Linked DNA regions of Lonchura striata. The protein of the gene in region 2 interacts with the protein of the main gene of each other region in a pairwise test. Links are inferred from orthologs where the notes say so. Each region holds a gene or a part of one and is shown on either strand. Other genes may lie near its edges.

Region 1 (10,362 bases), on a different chromosome or scaffold from region 2:
AGCCTGGCCTTGGGCACTGCCAGGGATCCAGGGGCAGCCACAGCTGCTCTGGGCACCTGTGCCAGGGCCTCCCCCTCACAGGGAACAATTCCTGCCCAGTATCAAACTAAATGTATCCTCCTTTGGTTTAAAGCCATTGTCCTTTTTCCTGGGGCACAACAGAAAGGGGCAAGTTGGCTTTTATCTTGACAGAGATCTCCTTTGTCATCTGGCAAGGCCCCATTCCCAGGCTGGACAGAGTAAACCAAGGTTCTCTGACATTTTTATGTTAAATTAAGCTGGTCTTAGAGTGAAGCTGCTGCTCCAAGGGCAGCTGCCTCCTTTCTCCCCCCAGAGCTCTGATCTGACTCCCCACTTTAGCCCAAGCATGGGAACAGGCACACAGGGTCTCTCCAGCTAGAAGGGACCCAGAAGGATCATCAAGCCCCACTCCCTTGCAGGACTAGAATTAAATCCTGTGACTAACCACACACTCCAGATGTTTTTGGAGCTCTGGCAATTTTGCTGCCATGACCACTTCCCCAGGGATCTTTTGCCAGTGATCACCGCCTTCTCAGTGAGGAATATTTACAAGAATATTTAAGGAGAAAGTATATTCAGGAACATTGAAGAAAATAAAAGCAGATCCATTGGGTCAGACAAAGCTCCTGTTCCATGTCAGAAGGTGATGCCCAGGGGAGAACACAACAACAGAGCAGGCATGAGACATTTTCCAAAATAGCTGCCTGTGGCCAGCACATTTCTCTCCCTCTCAGGATTTTTCATAGAGGAGCACAGAGAGAAATGAAAGAGAAAACAATTTCTGTTTCTGCTCCTTGTTTTTCCTATGTGGAATGTGTTTGGAGAATTGTTTACCTGGGGTGGTTGCTTGGTTGGATTCTGGTGAGGATTGTTTGAACCTGATGACAAATCCAACCCAGCTGGGGCTGGGCTCTCAGAGAGGGTCACGAGTTGTGTTAGAGTCAGAGAAAGTAGTATGTAGCTTTAGTACCCTCCTTTTATATAGCATATTAATGTATTTTAGCACAGTTATAATAAAGAAATCATTCAGCCTTCTGAATTGAGTCAGACATCGTCACTTCTTCCCATTGGGTTTGCCTGCATTTACAATAGCTGCCCAGCCCCAAACATTTTCAATTCAAGGACTTTCTATTGCTGCAGAGTCAACTTTAATGTACATTTGGTAGACATAGGAGGAGTTGGATCTCATTTGTGTAGTGGCACACCATTAGCCCAGCCTTACTGGGGCACCTTTAAGCCACCTCTGTGGATTAATTGGTGTTCTGGATCAATTAGCTGAGCACAGCTTGATTATTGCCCATATTGTTTAAGCAGGATCCCATTAGCCATGATCAGGAAGGCATTCCCTTCCCTGGGAGCTGAGACCACTCACTCTCCCCATGTTATTCCAGAGCACCAGGGCCATCTGTCCAGGTGAGGGGATGTCTGACCCTGCTGCAGAGCTCAGCTCTGGCTGGAGCACGGCAAAAACAGGAGCAAGATTCATGGTGCCACAAACCTGAATGAACACCAGGAGAGGTGACACAGAGGTTACCCTACAGCTTTCCTTCCCAAAGCACTTTCCAAAGGGAATAACAAAGTTACAGTTAATGCAATAGTCCGTCCATGTGGCTGAAAATAGCTCCTGACCTGGTACACAGGATTTGTCCAAGTCTCTGTCTTAGGTCACATAGGAAAGTCCACTCAATCAGCAGAATTTTAGGCTGGCGCTTTTTTGACAGTTAAAACTGCTGAATTCGTTTATGGCTAAAAAAAGAATGCCAGGAAGATATTTTGAAAGTGCTGCCTCGGAGGCCTCCATCAGAGGTGAGCTAAACTTAGAGGGCCTGAGGTAGGAAGAGAAGTGTGTGAGTGACACCTCCAAGGGACAGCTCCATCCTCTGGGGACCAGGCTCCTGCCTGCAGTGCCTGGCCTGTCTTTAGGGGGAGGAAAAATGGAATCATTCCAGGCACCAGCTCTCAGTTAGAGGCCTGATGCCCTTAAAAATTTAGAGATTAAAATGACCAAGTGAAGCTTATTTTTAAAAAGGATGCTGTTGAGTCTTTCACATTCATTCTTCTTCCATGGCCAAAAGGAAAAAAAACTTTAAAAAACAGAGCAATCGTGGACAGTCTCTCAAGGAAATTTAAATTGGTAAGTGCAAACCATCCAACAACAGTTTGGGATGTGTCTCTGTCTTCATCCAACACCAGTTTGAGATGTGTTCCTGCCTTCATCCAACACCAGTTTGGGATGTGTCCCTGTGTCTCATCCCTCATCCAACACCAGTTTGGGATGTGTCCCTGTGTCTCATCCCTCATCCAAAACAGTTTGGGATGTGTCCCTGTGTCTCATCCAGCACCAGTCTGGGATGTGTTCCTGTGTCCTCGCCTCCTGCCTTGTGACCACTGGGTCTCTTGCTGTTTGTTTTGAGTCCCCTGAGCGCTGCCCTGTCCCCTGAGTCACCCAGAGCCGGGTGGATCCGTTCAGCACTAGGAGGGGGAGAGGTGTGAAGTGACTCACGGGGATAGGAACGCACTGAACGCTTCTCAGGCTCAAGACCTCACAGTTAATCCTGCAACCCCACAACATTCAGAGCAGAGCCAGGGAGTGCCCAGAGGGAAGGGTTTGCTGTTCAGAACTCCCCTGTGCACCACGTCCTGGCACACCTCATCCCTGATTCTACAGGAGCTGTTACTGCAACAACAGCCTCTTATTTACAGGACTTGGATGGCACCCATCCAAACAGGGCTTCAAGAGTGCTGGAAAAAATATAGGCGTTCCACAGTGACTGTTCTACATTGGAATAATCTGTATTTTTTGTATTAATATTTTTTTCTTTGGCCATGATGATGCTGAAGTGTCATTTTCACAGAAGTCAAGTGAGATTCAAGCCCCTCTGTACTAACAGTGGGTTCTGAGGAGTACAAACATTGCTGGGTAAGCTCTGTGCCTGCAGATAAACCTTAAATGTCACATTTTTGTGCAATGTTGTGAAAAACAAGCAGGCTAAAGGAGTGCCCACCCTCACTGCAGGCATAAAAATCACAGTGTTCATCTCCTGACTATCAGTACAGAGTCATCAAACAATCACAGAATGTGGAAGGGACCTTAAAGATCCTTTCATTCCATCCCTGCCATGGCAGGGACACCTCCCACTGTCCCAGGCTGCTCCCAGCCCTGTCCAGCCTGGCCTTGGGCACTGCCAGGGATCCAGGGGCAGCCACAGCTGCTCTGGGCACCCTGTGCCAGGGCCTGCCCACCCTGCCAGGGTGCTTTCTTAGTATCTAATTTAAAGCATTTAAATCTAAATCTGTTATAGCCTTTCCCTGAAGTACAGAAGGACCATATTGTCCTATGGTTTTTCTTTCCCTCTCAGGCTGAGCTGAGCTGCTGCTCCTCTGTCACTGTATTTATACCTGTGTACATGGAACAATATTTTTGTTGCAGTGTAAAATGTGACTCGCAGCAGTAAACTTGAGCACTGCATGCTCAACATCTTCCATGTTTTACACACGACAGCGAAACAAGACTAGGAAGCTGATTTAAAATAAAGGCTCTGGATTTACAGGATATAAGGCCAGGATAGCTGCCCCTGGATCCCTGGAAGTGTCCAAGGCCAGGCTGGACAGGGCTTGGAGCAACCTGGGACAGTGGAAGGTGTCCCTGTCCATGGAATGGGCTTTAATGTCCCTTCCTGGGACTCAATGTACCAATCTCCAGACATTGTAATTAAAAACAAACATAGACTCACACCAGGGACCAGGGAGGAGAGCCTGTTGTGTCCAGAAGACACACAGAGCTGGATGGTCCCAGCCCAGGCTTTGCTGCTGAATGGGGCAGCTTTGGGCCATATCCCTGGATTTGGGCAGCCCCATTCCTGGCTCTGCTCCATCCCACCCCTTCTCCAGGCAGTATCACACCACCAACTTGCTTGGTTCTCAATTCATGGACAAGAACACCTCATGCTCTATAACACAGAAGCCAAAATGAGCAGCAGGGGCTCCCAAGGGCTCCAAGAGCTCTGAGCCACCCCCCTGTCCAGGATCCGAGTCTATCATGGTCACTGTCACAGCAGCTCAGCCTGTCATGGTCACTGTCACAGCAGCTCAACCTGTCATGGTCACTGTCACAGCAGTTCAACCTGTCATGGTCACTGTCACAGCAGCTCAACCTGTCATGGTCACTGTCACAGCAGCTAGCCTGCCATGTGTGAATGCCCCCTCCCAATGGCAGCACTGCCACACCTGCCCAGGAACACCCAGCAGCCAGGGTTAACAACAGAGCACATGGAAAGGAGCTAAAACCAAAACTTACACATGATTTGTACAGCAGGGACGGAGTTTATTAATCCAGTCCCTGGAACTGGAACAGGGGCTCACACGGGCCTGGCCCAGGTGTACTCAGGGTGTGCTTCTCCCAGCACAGCACAGTTACCTTCACCTGTGCTCACAAATCTCTGCCCACTCTCCCCACAACAGAAACACTGCCCTTGGTAACAGGAAATTCCCATTTTCCATGGAAAAGAGCCGCACTGTCAATCACTGCTCACAATTTCAAATATCACCACAGCACCTAATTAATGTGCTTTCTTGCACTCTGAGCTTGCTTAATTACCTGGTCAGGTTACCAACAGGGATAAAGTCTCATGGAATTACAGGGTTTAGGCCAGGCATGGAGCCAGTGGGGCAGGGATGGAGAAGCTCACAGCCCTGTGCCCTCACACAGCCACAAGGGAAGAGGCCAGAACCCAGTGTGGGGAAAACAGCTGTTATTTCCTGTTGGAAATTATGTAACTCTCTTAATTGTTTTAATTAATTGCAACCAGTGCCCACATTCAGATAGCACTAGTTAACTTTCTTCACAGGCTCTTACAATTACTTTGATCACTAAATAACCAAAACCTCAGATTTGCTACAAGTAACTCAGCCAAGCTTCAATAAACAAAGCCAAAGGGAGTTGGAGATTGGACATCTGGGATCTTAAATTTATGACCCTTCAAGTGTGTTGGAGTAAGCAAAAAATGCAGAGGAGATTAAGGCATGGAAAGTTGGAGATTCCCTGACTGGGAAAAAGATTATAAAAGTAATAAAGTATGTGGACCAGATTAGTGTGAAGAGTGAGAAATTAACAACCAAGAGCAGATAGAACACTAAGTAATAAAGAGAATTATGTAACCTAGAGCAAATGAACATGAATTGGTTTGCTAAAAATGTACAAATAAGTGAAAAAGTTTTGTATCTGTGTTAGTGCAGATGCTGGAGCTTTGTCAGCTACACACATTCTTGGCTAAGGATACAGAAATGCCTGACTCGCTAAGAGTGTCACACTGCCTTAGAGGGAGCCTTACTGATCCCAAGGGCTTTGGGGGATCTTGGGAACATTCCCAGAGGCAGCAGCTCTGCCCCAGGGCTGCCCCAGCTCCCCCTGTGCCTGGCCCTGCTCGCAGCCCCCAGTAACGGCAGTGTGACCACCTGGACCTACAGGTGAACCTGTCCCTGTGCATTCACCTGAACCTTCACCTACAGCTGAACTTGTACCTGCACCGTCCCCTGCACGTGAATCTGTCCCTGAATCATGCCCTGCACCTGAACCTGTCCCATCACCTGAACCTGTCCCATCACCCACATATGAACCTGTCCCTGCACCATCCCCTGCACCTGAACTTGTCCCATCACTGCACCTGAACCTGTCCCTGCATCATCCCCTGCACCTGAACCTGTCCCTGAAACATCCCCTGCACCTGAACCTGTCCCACCACTTACCAATGAACCTGTCCCTTCACCCACAGATGAATCCGTCCGTGCACCATCCCCTGCACCTGTCCCTGTGCCTTCACCTGAATCTTCATCTATACCTGAACCCATCCCCTCACCTACACCCGAACCCATCCCAGTCCCTTCAGCTACACCTCTCCCTTCACCTACACCTGAACCTGTCCTCACATTATCACCTACACCTGATCCCATCCCCTCACCTACACCCAAACCCATCCCAGTCCCTTCACCTACATCTGTCCCCGTCCCATCACCTGCACTTGTCCCTACACTTGCACCTACACCTATGCATGCATACATACACCTACAGCCACGCCTGCCCTTTTCCCGTTCCTACGCCTGCCTCTTCTCGCTGTCCCTTGCCTGTCCCCGCCGTCCCTCAGGCCGCGCCGCCATTTCCCGCCGCGGTGCGCGCCGGGAGCGGGCGGGGCGGCGAGCGCGGCTGGGTACGGGCGGGCCGGGCGGCTGAGGGGCCGAGGGGGCCCGTGTGCTGAGGGGCCGAGAGGGGCCGAGAGGGGCCGAGGGGGACCGTGAGGGGTCCGTGTGCTGAGGGGCCGAGAGGGGCCGTGAGGGGTCCGTGTGCTGAGGGGTCGTGAGGGGTCCGTGTGCTGAGGGGCCGTGAGGAGTCGTGAGGGATCCGTGTGCTGAGGGGCCGAGAGGGGCCGTGAGGGGTCCGTGTGCTGAGGGGCCGTGAGGAGTCGTGAGGGATCCGTGTGCTGAGGGGCCGTGAGGGGCCCGTGTGCTGAGGGGCCGTGAGGGGTCCGTGTGCTGAGGGATCCCCCGTCCCGCGGGATCCCGCCCAGCCCCGCGCCCCTGACGCCGCGTTTGCCTTGCAGGAGGCCCAGGATGGCGGAGAGACCGGAGGACCTGAACCTGCCCAACGCCGTCATCACCCGCATCATCAAGGAGGCGGTGGGTGCCGGGCCCCGCGGGGCCCCGGCCCGCGGGCTCTGCCCTGCGCTGTCCCGCTCGGGTACCGGGGCTGCAGCGCTCGCTGCAGCTCCCGAGCCATGCAGCTGCACCGCTGCAGCGTCCCGAGCCACGCGGCTGCACCGCTGCAGCTCGGCAGCAGCGCAGTTCCCGCAGTGGCACTGTGAGAACCAGGCCCCCTGAAACTTCAGCACACGAGTCCATGTCTATATAAAAATCCAGAATAATTCGCTGGGGTTGATTGAGCGCGTTTGCTCTGGAGCTGTGAGGGTTGCCGAGTGGATCTGGGCCTGGCGGGCGTGTCTGGAGCTGGGCAGGCACAGGATGAGTTACCTGAGACAGTGGCCAGACCCCAAACGCCGGAGTCATTGGGCTTGTGCTCAGCTCTGTGCCTTCGAGGGACACATTCCTACTGCCCTTGGCTTCCAGCTGGAAGCAGAGCTCCTGCGACAGCACCCCAGAGCAGTTCCCAGTTCTTCTGAGCCCTCTGAGTGTTTTAACAAACTGACACTTCAATTATGGAGTTTAAGTCGTTTTTAGCAGCTGCTGATAAAAGTTGGATTTGTTTTTCAGCTTCCTGAGGGAGTCAATATTTCCAAAGAAGCCCGGAGCGCGATCTCCCGAGCAGCAAGTGTGTTTGTGCTGTATGCAACATCATGGTAAGGACTTGGTGCAGCAGTCACTGGGGCACTTGATTGATAATTCATTTCTGCTGGCCTGGGGACTCTCTCCCAGTGTTGGTTTTCTGTTTTGCCTGTTTATATAAATAAACTAGTCTGCAGCAGGTGGGTTTGGACTGCCCAGAGCAGCCCTTGGGAAGGTAGCTGGGCTCTGGACACAGCCATGTCCCAAAAAAGGGGGGTCCCCAAAAAGAGGGGTCCCAAATTGCCATTAACCTTAGAACGTGGCTGCACAGCCTTCCTGGCAAAGGCAGAGCGCTTGACTCATTTTCAGGCTCTTCATCATGAAGCTGTGTTGGGGCAAGAGCTGCCACAGAGGACACAGTCACGTTTTTGGGGTGGCTTGGCGTATTCTCTGCAGGCAGTCACTCCTCTAGTGTCAGGGGCTTCTATGGAACCCTAGCCCTTCTAGGGCTCTGTGGAACTGTCACAGCCAAGGCTCAGGCTTTCTCCTCCTGCTTGTAGAAAAGGTCTGTGCAGGCAGAAACTAACCCTGTGGGAAAGCACAGACATTGTAAATAAAAATGTCTCAAGCCTCCTTTAGTAAATGGTAAAGAAACCTAAATGTTTAGGGGATGGCTTTTTAAAGTTGCTTATGACTTCAGTAAACAAGATGAAATTGCCAACAGTCCTCAATTACCTCTCTTTTTGGTTCTGCCTAGTGCAAATAACTTTGCCATGAAGGGGAAGAGGAAAACCCTGAATGCTGGGGACGTGCTTTCTGCCATGGAGGAGATGGAGTTCCAGAGATTCGTGGCCCCTCTGAAGGAATCCCTGGAAGGTACTGTGCTCCGTGGGTGTCCAGGGACTCTGAGAGGCACCAAGTCCTGTTCTCCTCCAACGCTGGACAAGCAACACTTATTGCCTGTCTTGTTTCTCTTCTCTTTGCCCAGCATCCTACCTTGCAGTTTGCCTGGGGAGTAACTAATGTGCACCTTAACAGGACTGGGATAACATTCTTGCACAACTGATGAGGATTGAGAAAGTCTCATCTGCTCTCACTCCCCTATTATGTTTATCTAAGGAAAGCCGTAGGTGCTGCCTGTAAATGTGACCTGCGTCCTTTTCAGCATTTTTCTGCTGAAATTTAACCTGATTTCCTATGGAGCTGCTCAGCACAGCTCAGCTCGTAGGGTGAGTTGTGCTCTGAGTTCCCTGCTCCCCTCAAAGCCAGGAGAGCAAGTGGACGTTGGGCCTCAGCCACTGACCTGTCCATGCCAGCGCCAAGCCCTCACTGTTCCCTCTCCTCCAGTTTACAGGCGTGAGCAGAAAGGAAAGAAGGAGGCCAGGAAAGATAAAGACAAGAAGGCAGACTCGGAGGAACAAGATAAGAGCCGAGAGGAGGACAATGATGAGGATGATGAAAGGATGGAGGAGGAAGAACAAAACGATGAGGAAGAGGTGGATAACTGAGCTCGCTCGTGGGCAAGGGCTGGGGTGTGCTCAGAGGGATGTAAACGCTGTAAATCGACCGTGCTGCATCCCCTCGTGTATCCATTAGAGCTTTGTACTGCCCCTCTGTGGCCTGTACTTTGTAAAGGACTCGTGCTGAAGCTTTTTCCGTGGCAGGGTGGCTCCTCCCTGTGCCTGGGGGCCTTTGGCCCTCCCCAGGCTCTGGGCAGGCACTTCCGGGGCTTTTGATGCTGGGCTGGCTCTGAAAGAGAGGAAAAAAGAACTGGTGGGTGCTCAGTGCAGAAACTGGCCAGGAGAAAGACTCCTGATTTTGAGGGGCTGAATGCAGTAGATCATTCAGAGATCACTTCTGGGGTGTAGAATGTAGGTGATGATGTCCAGAGGCTTGGAAGCTGCACACTGAAGCTTTTGATCCAATTGAGTTGTTTTTTTCCCTTTGTTTCCTTGCATCCTGGCTGTGCCTTCTCTCCCTGCTGTACTGTGACAGTGACACTGTGTCCTCCAGCCTCAGCAGCAGCACAGGGTGGCTGTACAGTGACGAGTTCACTCACTGACTCACCCAAACTAACCCAAATCCGAAAAACACACAGTGATCTCGGGGTAAACGGTACACTGAAAGTGTCTTTGAGAGCCCTGAGAGACAAGGACGAGATTGACTTAAAATCTGAAGCACAAGGTGGGGGGTAAAATGGGGAGCAAGGCTGAAAACAGATGGCTTTGTGCAGTGCTGGGGGTGGGACAGGTCAGTGGTGGCACTGGGGTCTCGCCTGCCCCCCTGCAGCAGCAGCTCCTGCAGCAAGCTGAGATGTGCTAGAGCAGAATGGTGAATTGTGGTGGTTGTCTTTTCCACTCTTCCCAGCTGGGATGAGCTAATTCCACCCACGGTCCCTCTGTAGCCTTTGCTGGTCATTCCAGGGACACGGATGCCTCTGGGAGGGCAGCAGGGGCAGGGTGTGCCCACCCAGGGGGCCCATGTGGTTTCACAAAAGGCTCCTGCAAGAAGGAAGGCTTGAGAGAAGCTTTTGGTATCCCTTGTGTGAGTGTAGGTTTGTGCTTTTCTACTTGATCTCTTAGTTCTGATGCCTTTCTCCCCCAGAAAGTTTTGGATACATTTAAAACCCCCAGGTTTTGATGATGTGCAGTTTTAAAATGGCACTTGTGAGGAATCCTGGATCCTTTCCACCAACAAAATGGTGGCAGCTACCCACAAGAACCACCCTGCCTTCCTGCTGTCCTGGCACGCTGCATTTTCACACGCACACAAGCCCAGCCTCTGAAAAGAACTGAACCAACACAGATTTTCTGCTGTCTAGTTTCTGCTGGCATTCAGTCAGGCTGTGGAAAGCCTGAGCTGATGATGTGTTCCCCACCTTCCAGCTCTTTTCCTCTCTTTTTTTTTTTTTTTCCTTTCTCTTCAGCACATATCTGGGGTGTATATTCCAGAAGGGAATGAGATCTAAATAAAAGCCAGATTTTTTTTTTTTTTACAGAAATGGGAGTCTCGTATTTCAGTCAGTTATAAAATGAGCAGGTTGTGGTTGCATAAGTGGGATGGGAGCAG
Region 2 (10,113 bases):
AAACCCAAATCCCCCCAAACCCCCCCCAGAGACACGGGGGGGACACCCCCGATCCACCCAAACCCCGCTCCAGGGACTCAGGGAGGGGGGAACACCCCAAAGCCCCCCAAAAAAACCCAAAAACGCCCCCAAAAAAACCCCCAGAGACACGGGGGGGACACCCCCGATCCACCCAACCCCCCCCAGGACTCAGGGAGGGGGGAACACCCCAAAATCCCCCCAAAACAACCCAAAAACGGCCCAGGTGTTGTCGGGACCACCCCAAAAACGCCCCCGGTGCTCTCTGCCCCCCCAGCCCCACCTGGCGAAGGGGAGCGGGGCCGGGGGGGGCTGAGGGGGGGTCTCCTCGTCCCCGTCGCTGTCGCTGTCCTCAGACTCCTCCTGGGGGGACACGGGGGGACAATGAGGGGACCCCAAACCCACCCCGGGGACCCCAAACCCTCCCCGGGGACCCCAAACCTCCCCACGCCCAGGGACCCCCAAAACCCCTCCCCAGAGGGGTCCCGGAAACCCCAAATCCACCCGGGACCCCCCCAAATCCACCCCCCCAGCAGTGACCCCACAACCAGGAACGGCCAATCCCCTTCAGGGGGGACCCCCAAAATCCCCCAGGGTCCCCCCAAAGGAAACTCAAGGGTCCAGGTGTCCCCAAAACCCCCCAAACCCCCCCCCACCTCCAGCTCTGGGTTCGTTCCCAAATGTCCCTTGGCCCCAGGACCCACCAAAACACCCCCGGGACCCCCAAAATCCACCCGGGACCCCCAAAATCCCCCCGGGACCCCCAAAACCCCTCTGGGACCCCCCAAAACCCCCCCACCTCCTGCTCCGAGTCTGTCCCCGACTGTTTTGGGGTCCCCTTGGCCCCGGGACCCCCGTTCTTGCGGCCACTGCCCGGGCGGCGCCCCCTGAAAGAGACCCCCCCCCTAATTAGAGACCCCCCAAAATTAGAGACCCCTGCCCCCAAAACTGCCCCAAATCCCAGCCTGCACCCCAAAATCCCTCCTAACGCCCCCGTCAGGGACCTCAGGTGTGCCAAGGTGCCCCCAGGTACCCCAGGACCCCCCGCCCCAGGTGTCCAGGGGTGTCCCCAAATATCCCCGGGTGGTCCCCAGCTCTGCCACAAGTGTCCCCAAGGGGTCCAGGGGTGTCCCCAGGTGTCCCCCAGGTATCCAGGGGTGTCCCCAAGATATCCAGGGGTGTCCCCCAGGTGTCCAGGGGTGTCCCCGGGGTGTCCAGGGGTGTCCCCAGGTGTCCCCCAGGTATCCAGGGGTGTCCCCAAGGTGTCCAGGGGTGTCCCCAGGTGTCCCCCAGGTGTCCAGGGGTGTCCCCCAGATATCCAGGGGTGTCCCCCAGGTGTCCAGGGGTGTCCCCGGGGTGTCCCCAGGTGTCCCCCAGGTATCCAGGGGTGTCCCCAAGGTGTCCAGGGGTGTCCCCAGGTGTCCCCCAGGTGTCCAGGGGTGTCCCCCAGATATCCAGGGGTGTCCCCAAGGTGTCCAGGGGTGTCCCCAGGTGTCCGCAGGTGTCCCCCAGGTGTCCACAGGTGTCCCCAAGATATCCAGGGGTGTCCCCAGGTGTCCCCAGGTGTCCCCCAGGTATCCAGGGGTGTCCCCAAGATATCCAGGGGTGTCCCCCAGGTGTCCAGAGGTGTCCCCAGGTGTCCCCGAGGTGTCCAGGGGTGTCCCCAGATATCCCTCAGGTTTCCCAGGGCTGTCCCCCAGGTGTCCCCGGGTGCCCCCCAGGTATCGGGGCGTGTCCCAGGTGTGCCCCACCTGCGGGGTCCCCGCTCGCCGTCGCCGTGGGGGTCGTCGCCGTCCCCCTGCATGTCGGGCACGGCGGCCACCAGGTCCTTGAGGAAGTCGAACTGCTGCTCCAGCTCGATGCACTGCTTCCTGTGGGCGGGGCCTCAGACCACGCCCACCCGCCCGACCACGCCCACCCAACCACGCCCACCACACCTGGGACAGACCACACCCACCTGGCCACGCCCATCACACCTGGGACAGGCCACACCCAGCCCCAAAAGGGGCCTCAGGTGTGTCAGGGACCCTTCCCCACCTCCCAGAGGTGTCCCAGGCAGGTGGGGACAGGTGGGACATTGGGGACAGGTGGGGACAGGTGGGACAGGTGGGGACAGGTGAGCCAGGTGGGGACAGGTGGGAGAGGGGGGACATTGGGGACAGGTGGGACGGGGGGACAGGTGTGACACTGGGCACTCACAGGTGGGACACTGGAGACACTGGGGACAGGTGGGATGGGGGGACAGGTGTGACACTGGGCACTCACAGGTGGGACACTGGGGACATTGGGGACAGGTGGGACGGGGGACAGGTGTGACACTGGGCACTCACAGGTGGGACACTGGAGACACTGGGGACAGGTGGGACGGGGGAACAGGTGGGACAGGTGGGACAGGTGGAGACAGGTGGGACGGGGGGACAGGTGTGACACTGGGCACTCACAGGTGGGACAGGTGTGACACTGGGCACTCACAGGTGGGACACTGGGGACATTGGGGACAGGTGGGACGGGGGAACAGGTGTGGCACTGGGCACTCACAGGTGGGACGTCGTCATGGTCTTGGCGTTGCGGGACTGCGTGACGTGGCACGCCTTGCGCAGCAGCGACTCCAGGAACAGCTCCAGCGCCCGCGCTGCCACGCTAAGGACGGCCAGGTACGCAGGTGGCACCCGCGGGTGCAGGTGAACCCTCCCAGCGCCCCCCAGCACGGGCAGCCTCAGCTGGCACAGGTAGGGGCACCTGGGGGGCCGGGCTGTGCAAGGCGGGGGAGCCCAGGTGAGCAGGGTGGGGTCCCTGAGGTGCCCAGGTGAGCAGGGCGGGGTCCCAGAGGTGCCCAGGTACACAGGGTGGGGTCCCTGAGGTGCCCAGGTGAGCAGGGAGGGGTCCCAGAGGTGCCCAGGTGAGCAGGGAGGGGTCCTGGGGCGGGGCCCAGGTGTTCAGGGCGGGGTCCAAGATGTGCCCAGGTGAGCAGGGAGGGGTCTTGGGGCGGGGCCCAGGTGAGCAGGGCAGGGTCTCAGGGTGCCCAGGTGAGCAGGGCAGGGTCCAAGATGTGCCCAGGTGGGGTCCCAGGGTGCCCAGGTGTGCAGGGCGGGGTCCCAGGGTGCCCAGGTGAGCAGGGCGGGGTCCCAGGGCGGGGCCCAGGTGTGCCAGAGGATACAGATGATGACGGGCACGGCGGCCGCCACCTTCCCGATCTCCTCGTCCGTCTGCATGATCTTCTTGATCCGCGCCTGCCACAGAGCCCCGGCTCACCTGAGCCCCGACCTCACCTGCACAGCCGCCCCTCACCTGAGCCCCCCTCACCTGCACAGCCCCCCCTCACCTGAACCCCCTCACCTGAACAGCCCCGCCCTCACCTGAACCCGCCCTCACCTGAGCCCCCATCACCTGAACAGCCCTCCCTCACCTGAACCCCCTCACCTGCAGGACCCCATCCTCACCTGAACCCCCTCACCTGCACAGCCCCCCTCACCTGCACAGCCCCCCCTCACCTGAACCCCCTCACCTGCACAGCCCCCCCTCACCTGCAGGACCCCATCCTCACCTGAACCCGCCCTCACCTGCACAGCCCCCCCTCACCTGCACAGCCCCCCGTCACCTGAACCCCCTCACCTGCAGGACCCCATCCTCACCTGAACCCCCTCACCTGCAGGACCCCATCCTCACCTGAACCCCCTCACCTGCAGGACCCCATCCTCACCTGAGCCCCACCTACCCCAGGCCCCGCCCACCCCAGGCCCCGCCCCTCACGCGCGGCCCCGCCCGCCCAAGCCCCGCCCCCTCCCCGTTCCCACGGCGCCCCCGTGGCCCCGCCCCCGTTGCCATGGCGCCGAGACCCCGCCCGTTGCCGCGGTAACCCCCGCGCCCCCCCCGCCCCCGTTACCATGGTAACCGCCCCCTCCCCGTTGCCATGGCGCCCCCGTCCCCCCTCAGCCGGTACCGGCGGGAAGCGCGCGTTGTATTTCTTCTTTTTGCTCGGCATGGCCGCCTCGCTGGCCCCGGCGGGATCGCGGAGGCTCCGGCCCGGCCCCGCTGCCGCCGCTCCCGGCCCGGCCCCGGCCCCGGCCCCGGCCCCGCTCGGCTCCGCCGCGGCCTCCCCGCCCCGCCCCTTCCGGGACGAGGCCACGCCCCTTCCCGCAAGAAAAGCGCGCCCCGCCCCGCCGGCGGCCGCGCCAGTTTGGCCACGCCCCCTGGAGGCGAAACCACGCCCCCCCGGATGGGAAACCACGCCCCCAGCCGCCATGACCACGCCCCCAGCTGTCAATCAAACCACGCGGGCCTTGGACCGTTTATTGGGGTGACCCCCGGGGGGGGGAGGGGGGAGGGGCGGGGCTTTCCCCTCCCCCCCAGGCACTTCGATGGGGGCGGGGTTAATGCCGGGGGAGGGGCAAAGGGGGCACCCCCCAAAAAGGCACCCAGTGACCCCGGCAAGAGTGTCCCAGTAGCTCCCAGTGACCCCCAGCCGGCACTTGGCGTCCTCCCAGTAACCGCAGAGATTCCCCAGTGACTCCCAGTTGCGTCCCAGTAACCGCAGAGAACTCCCAGTGACTCCCAGTAAGCCCCAGCACCCCCTAGAAACCTCTCCGTGCCCCCCAGTAACCTCCCAGTCACCCCTAACAGCCTCCCAGTGACTCCCAGTAAGCCCTAAAAGCCTCCCAGTAAACACTAGAAACCTCCCAGTAACTCCCAGTCAGCCCTTGCAACCCTCAGATGCCTCCCAGTAAGCCCTAGAAGCATCCCAGTGCCTCCCAGTAACCCCTAGAAGCCTCCCAGTAACCCCTAGAAGCCTCCCAGTAAACCCTAGAAGCCTCCCAGTAACCCCTGGAAGCCTCTCAGTAACCTCTAGAAGCCTCCCAGTGACTCCCAGTAAGCCCTAGAAGCCTCCCAGTGCCTCCCAGTAAGCCCTAGAAGCCTCCCAGTAAACCCTAGAAGCCTCCCAGTGACCCCCAGTAAGCCCTAGAAGCCTCCCAGTAAGTACAAATAAACGCTGGACCCCTCCCAGTAACACCCAGTAAAGCCTCAAGCCCTCCCAGTGGCTCCCAGTCAGGAGGAGGGGAACTGGCTGAGGAAGGTGCTCAAGTCCAGCTCCCCCAGCGAGGGCAGCGACTCCTCGGGCCCCCCCAGCCCCCCCAGCTCGGGACCCCCGGCCAGCTCGGCCCCCAGCCCCATTTCGGGGGGCGCCCCCGGGGGCTGGCTCTGCACCAGGCGGGCGATGGCCTCGGGGTACGACATCAGCATGGGGGGGCCCCCGAAATCCGGGGGGGGTGGGGGCGGCTCGGGAACCCCCGCCCCGAAATCCGGGGAGGGGTCCCCGAAGCTCGGGGGGGCTCGGGGGGGCCCAGCAGGCGCTGGACCTCGCAGGCGTTGAGGGGGTCCAGGGCGGGGAAGGGGGAGTCCCCCCCCCCAGAAGCGCCCCCAAATCCAGCGGGGGGGCCGTGCCGCCCCCCCCGAGCTGGGGGGACCCCTCCTCAAATTGCAGCTGCAGCAGCGCCTCGGCCAAAGGCTCCGGCTCGGGGGGGGCTGGGCCCCCCAGGAGCCCCCCGGGACCCCCGAAGGAGAAGGAGGGAGCTGGGGGGAGGGGAAGGGGTGAGGGAGGGGCTCGACCCCCCCCAGTTCCCGCCATCTTCCCCCCAAAATTGCCCCCGGCCCCATTCACTCCCCTCCCCCACTTCCCCCTCCCCAATTCCCTCCTTGCCCCCCACCCTCCCCAATTCCCCCCCAATGTTTTCCCCTTTTGCCCCCACCCCAGTTCCTCCCAGTTCCATCCCAGTCCCACCCAATCCCTCCCAGTTCCATCCCAGTCCCTCCCAGTTCCATCCCAGTCCCTCCCAGTGCCCCAGTCCCCCTCACCTGCACTGGGGGGGTTCTGGGGGGCCGGGGGGGGTCTCGAGGGCACCGCCAGGCGCCGGGGGGGCCGCGACTCGCCGGACGCCGGAGCTGGGGGGGGGAAATGGGGGTCCCACTGTCAGGGACCCCCCGCCAGGGACCCCAAATCCCCCCTGGACCCTTCCCCAGGACCCCAAATGATCCCCCCAGGACCCCAAATCCCCCCCAACATCCCCACGGGACCCCCATTTCCCCCTCGAGACCCCCCCAGGACCCCAAAACCTCCTCAGAGACCACCCCCAAGGACCCCAAATCCCCCAGGGTCCCCAAATCCCCCAAGGCCCCCCCAAGATCTCCAGTTCCTCCTCTACACCCCCCCGGAGACCCCAAGCCTCCCCCCAGGGTTCCCCAAATCTCCCCCCAGACTCCCCCAGGGGCCCCAAACCCCCCCAGATTCCCCCCAAGGACCCCCAATTTCCCCTTTAGACCCCCCAGGGACCCCAACAATCCCCCCAAAGCCCCCCGAAGCCCCCCAAGCCCCACCAGGCAGGGGGCTGCGCTGGATGAAGGAGCGGAAGGTTTCCCGCGTCCGCTTGCGCTTCTCCTCGATGCACTGCAGGTCCCCTGCACCAGTGACACCAGTGACACCAGTGACACCAGGGAGCTCCCAGTGAGCTCCCAGTTACACCAGTGACCCCCCAGTGACTTCCTTGTCACCTTCCAGTTAATCCCAGTCACTCAGAGTCACCTCCCAGTGACCCCCAGTCCCCTCCCAGTCACATCAGTGACCTCAGGAGACCCCACAGCGTCCCAGGGTGACAAGAAGGAACCAAAAAGAACCAGAACGGGACCTCGGAGTGACCCAAAAGGGACCCTGGATCACCCCCAGCCCCCCAAAAAGACCCCGCAGCACCCCATAGACCCCCCCCAGGGTCACCCTGTTGGGGCAGGAATAGAAATCAATGGGATTCAGGGATCTGAGAATGCCCCAAAGGGACCCCAGCCCCCCAAAACCACCCCGCAGCCCCCCGAAGCCCACCCTGGTGGGGCAGGCAGTGGAACTCCACCGGGGTGCTGCAGCTCCAGGGATCCGGGAATGTCCCAAAGGGACCCAGGAGTGCCCCAGAGGAACCCTGGATCACCCCCAGCCCCCCAAAACCACCCCGCAGCCCCTCGAAGCCCACCCTGGTGGGGCAGGAACAGGAAATCAATGGGAACTGAAGCTCCAGGGACCCCAGATCACCCCCAGCCCCCCAAAACCACCCCGCAGCCCCCCGAAGCCCACCCTGGTGGGGCAGGAACAGGAAATCAATGGGAACTGAAGCTCCAGGGACCCCAGATCACCCCCAGCCCCCCAAAACCACCCCGCAGCCCCCCGAAGCCCACCCTGGTGGGGGCAGGAACAGGAAATCAATGGGAACTGAAGCTCCAGGGACCCCAGATCACCCCCAGCCCCCCAAAACCACCCCGCAGCCCCCCGAAGCCCACCCTGGTGGGGCAGGAACAGGAAATCAATGGGAACTGAAGCTCCAGGGACCCCAGATCACCCCCAGCCCCCCAAAACCACCCCGCAGCCCCCCGAAGCCCACCCTGGTGGGGCAGGTAGCGGAAGTCGAGCGGCGCGCTGCGCTGCCGGTCCGAGGGCCGCTGCAGCTCCATGCGCACGGTGACGGGCGCGCGCAGCGCGGGGTCCCGGAACGGCGGCGTGCGGAACACGATGGCGACCTGGCGGTGAACGTCGGCCTGCGCGAAGGAGCCCTTGGCCTCCCAGCCCTCGGCCGAGAAACGCACCTCGATGTCCTCTGCGGGCACGGGGACACAGTGGGGACACGCGGGGGACACGGACACGGGGACATGGGCATGGACATGGGGACAGAGACACGGGGACGCTGCAGGGACAGGGACACGGGGACAGGGATGGGGACATGGACACAGGAACATGGGCATGGACATGGACATGGGGATGGGGACATGCTGGGGACACCCCGGGGACACCACAGGGACACGGGGACACGGACATGGGGACAGGGACATGGGGGCAGAGACACAGGGATGGGGACAGGGACACGGACACGGGGACAGGGACAGGGACACGGGGACAGGGACAGGTGACAGCGACAGGAACAAAGCCGGGGGACACAGACACCGATATCGCCCTGTTTGGGACATCCCAGCTTTGGGGTGTCCCAGGTTTTGGGGTGTCCCAGGTTTTGGGGTGTCCGAGGTTTGGGGTGTCCCAGCTTTGGGGTGTCCCGGGTTTGGGGTGTCCCGTTTTTCGGCTGTCCCATTTTTGGGGTGCCCCATTTTTGGGGTGCCCCGTTTCGGGCTGTCCCCGTTTTCAGGGTGCCCCGTTTTCAGGGTGCCCCGTTTTTGGGGTGCCCCGTTTCGGGCTGTCCCCATCCCGGGGTGCCCCCTGACCTTTCTGGACCTTGTCACACAGCAGGAAGATCTCGTCCCCGCCCCGGCAGCTCCCGGAGTTGCGGTTCACGCGGCAGATCCGGAGCTCGGCCGTGCTGGGGGCACCTGGGGACAGCGCGGGGCCGCCGTGGGTCCCGGGCCACCCTCGGGTGTCCCCAGGTGTCCCTTGGGTGTCCCAGGGACGTCCCAGGGATGTCCCACATGGGTCTCAGGGATGTCCCCCAGGTGTCCCCAGTGTCCCCAGCTGTCCCCTGGTGTCCCTCAGCTGTCCCCAATGTCCCCCAGGTGTCCCCAATGTCCCCCCGGTGTCCCAGGTGTCACTCAGGTGTCCCCAGGTGTCCCAGGTGTCCCCAGCTGTCCCCGTGTCCCCGTGTCCCACTCACGGTTGTCGTAGATGGGCTGGGACAGGACGGGGGGGAGGGGCTGCAGCCCCCCCGGGCCCCTCACCCACACCTGGAAGCAGAGCCGGACCGCGGCCAGGTCGTACTCGCCCCCGCGCTGCTCCGCCGGCACTGCCCGGTGCAGACCAGTGAGAACCGGTATAAACCAGTACAGACCAGTATAAACCAGTACAGACCAGTACAGACCAGTGTAAACCAGTATAGACCAGTATATACCAGTACAAACCACTAACATACCCAGGTACCCCCAGTGACACCCCCAGGTCATACTCGCCCCTGCGCTGCTCCCCTGGCACTGCCCAGTACAGACCAGTACAGACCAGTGACGCCCCCAGCACTGTCCTCAGTGACCTCCCAGTAATACCCAATCACTCCCAGTTCCCTCCCAGTAACTCCCAGTCCCTCCCAGTTCCCTCCCAGTCCCTCCCAGTTCCCTCCCAGTTGCTCCCAGTTCCCTCCCAGTCCCTCCCAGTCACTCCCAGTTCCCTCCCAATCGCTCCCAGTTCCCTCCCAGTCCTTCCCAGTTCCCCCCCAGTTCCCTCCCAGTCCCTCCCAGTCCCTCCCAGTCACTCCCAGTTCCCTCCCAATCGCTCCCAGTTCCCTCCCAGTCCTTCCCAGTTCCCTCCCAGTTCCCCCCAGTTCCCTCCCAGTCCCTCCCAGTCCCTCCCAGTTCCCTCCCAGTTCCCCCCAGTTCCCTCCCAGTCCCTCCCAGTTCCCCCCCAGTTCCCTCCCAGTCCCTCCCAGTCCCTCCCAGTTCCCCCCCAGTTCCCTCCCAGTTCCCTCCCAGTTCCCCCCAGTTCCCTCCCAGTCCCTCCCAGTCTCTCCCAGTGCTCCCAGTACCGTTGAAGGGGTTGTTGTTGGTGCGGATCCGCTCGGCCACGGCCGCCTCCAGCTCCCGCTTCTTCACGCACTGGATCCCCAAATTCTGGAAACTGCCCCCAAAACTGGGCTGGCTCAGGGCTCCACCTGGATTTTGGGATCCCCCCGAACATTCCGGGGCAGGGATCCCGAATTTTGGGGGTTCCCAGGACTCTTGGCAGGGTCCCGTATTTTGGGCGTCGCCCCCCGTTTTTGGGTGGTCCCACCCGCCCCGGAGGGAGATCCCCAGTATTTTGGGAGATACCACCTGCTCTTCTGGGGGGGTTCCCAAATCTTGGGTGCTCCCACCGCCCCATGGGGGTGTCTCCCGGTTTTGGGGGTGTCCCTGATTTTGGGGGACATCCCAGTTTTGGGGTGTGCCCCCAGCCTGAGGGATGTCCACAGTTTTTGGGGGATGTCCCCGGTTTTTGGGGGGCTGACCCGGGTTTTGGGGCTGTCCCAGTTTTTGGGGGGGGGGATATCCCGTTTTTTTGGGGGATATCCCAGTTTTTGGGGGATGTCCTGGATTTTGGAGCTGTCCCCGGATTTTGGGGTTCTCCCCGGTTTTTGGGGATGTCCCAGTTTTTGGGGG

The links.
Region 1: the proteins of DRAP1 (region 2) and POLE3 interact in binary tests that used the Homo sapiens proteins (3 or more experiments, as listed by UniProt). The two-hybrid records come from large-scale screens. The link is inferred for Lonchura striata from reciprocal best matches to the Homo sapiens genes DRAP1 and POLE3.

Annotation. Positions count from the first base shown.
Region 1 is NC_134624.1:4,747,246-4,757,607, reverse strand, and holds POLE3 (DNA polymerase epsilon subunit 3), read left to right. Parts: upstream 1-6,182; 5' UTR 6,183-6,224; intron 6,225-6,426; exon of another isoform or gene 6,427-6,449; intron 6,450-6,614; 5' UTR 6,615-6,624; coding exon 6,625-6,690; intron 6,691-7,281; coding exon 7,282-7,367; intron 7,368-8,050; coding exon 8,051-8,169; intron 8,170-8,640; coding exon 8,641-8,801; 3' UTR 8,802-8,903; downstream 8,904-10,362. Other genes in the region: regulator of G-protein signaling 3-like, read right to left, coding at 1,394-1,507. UniProt on the Homo sapiens protein: Accessory component of the DNA polymerase epsilon complex. Participates in DNA repair and in chromosomal DNA replication.
Region 2 is NC_134638.1:274,423-284,535, forward strand, and holds the start of DRAP1 (dr1-associated corepressor), read right to left. Parts: upstream 4,079-10,113; 5' UTR 4,001-4,078; coding exon 3,959-4,000; intron 3,249-3,958; coding exon 3,176-3,248; intron 2,651-3,175; coding exon 2,557-2,650; intron 1,890-2,556; coding exon 1,770-1,889; intron 906-1,769; coding exon 818-905; intron 382-817; coding exon 302-381; intron 1-301. UniProt on the Homo sapiens protein: The association of the DR1/DRAP1 heterodimer with TBP results in a functional repression of both activated and basal transcription of class II genes.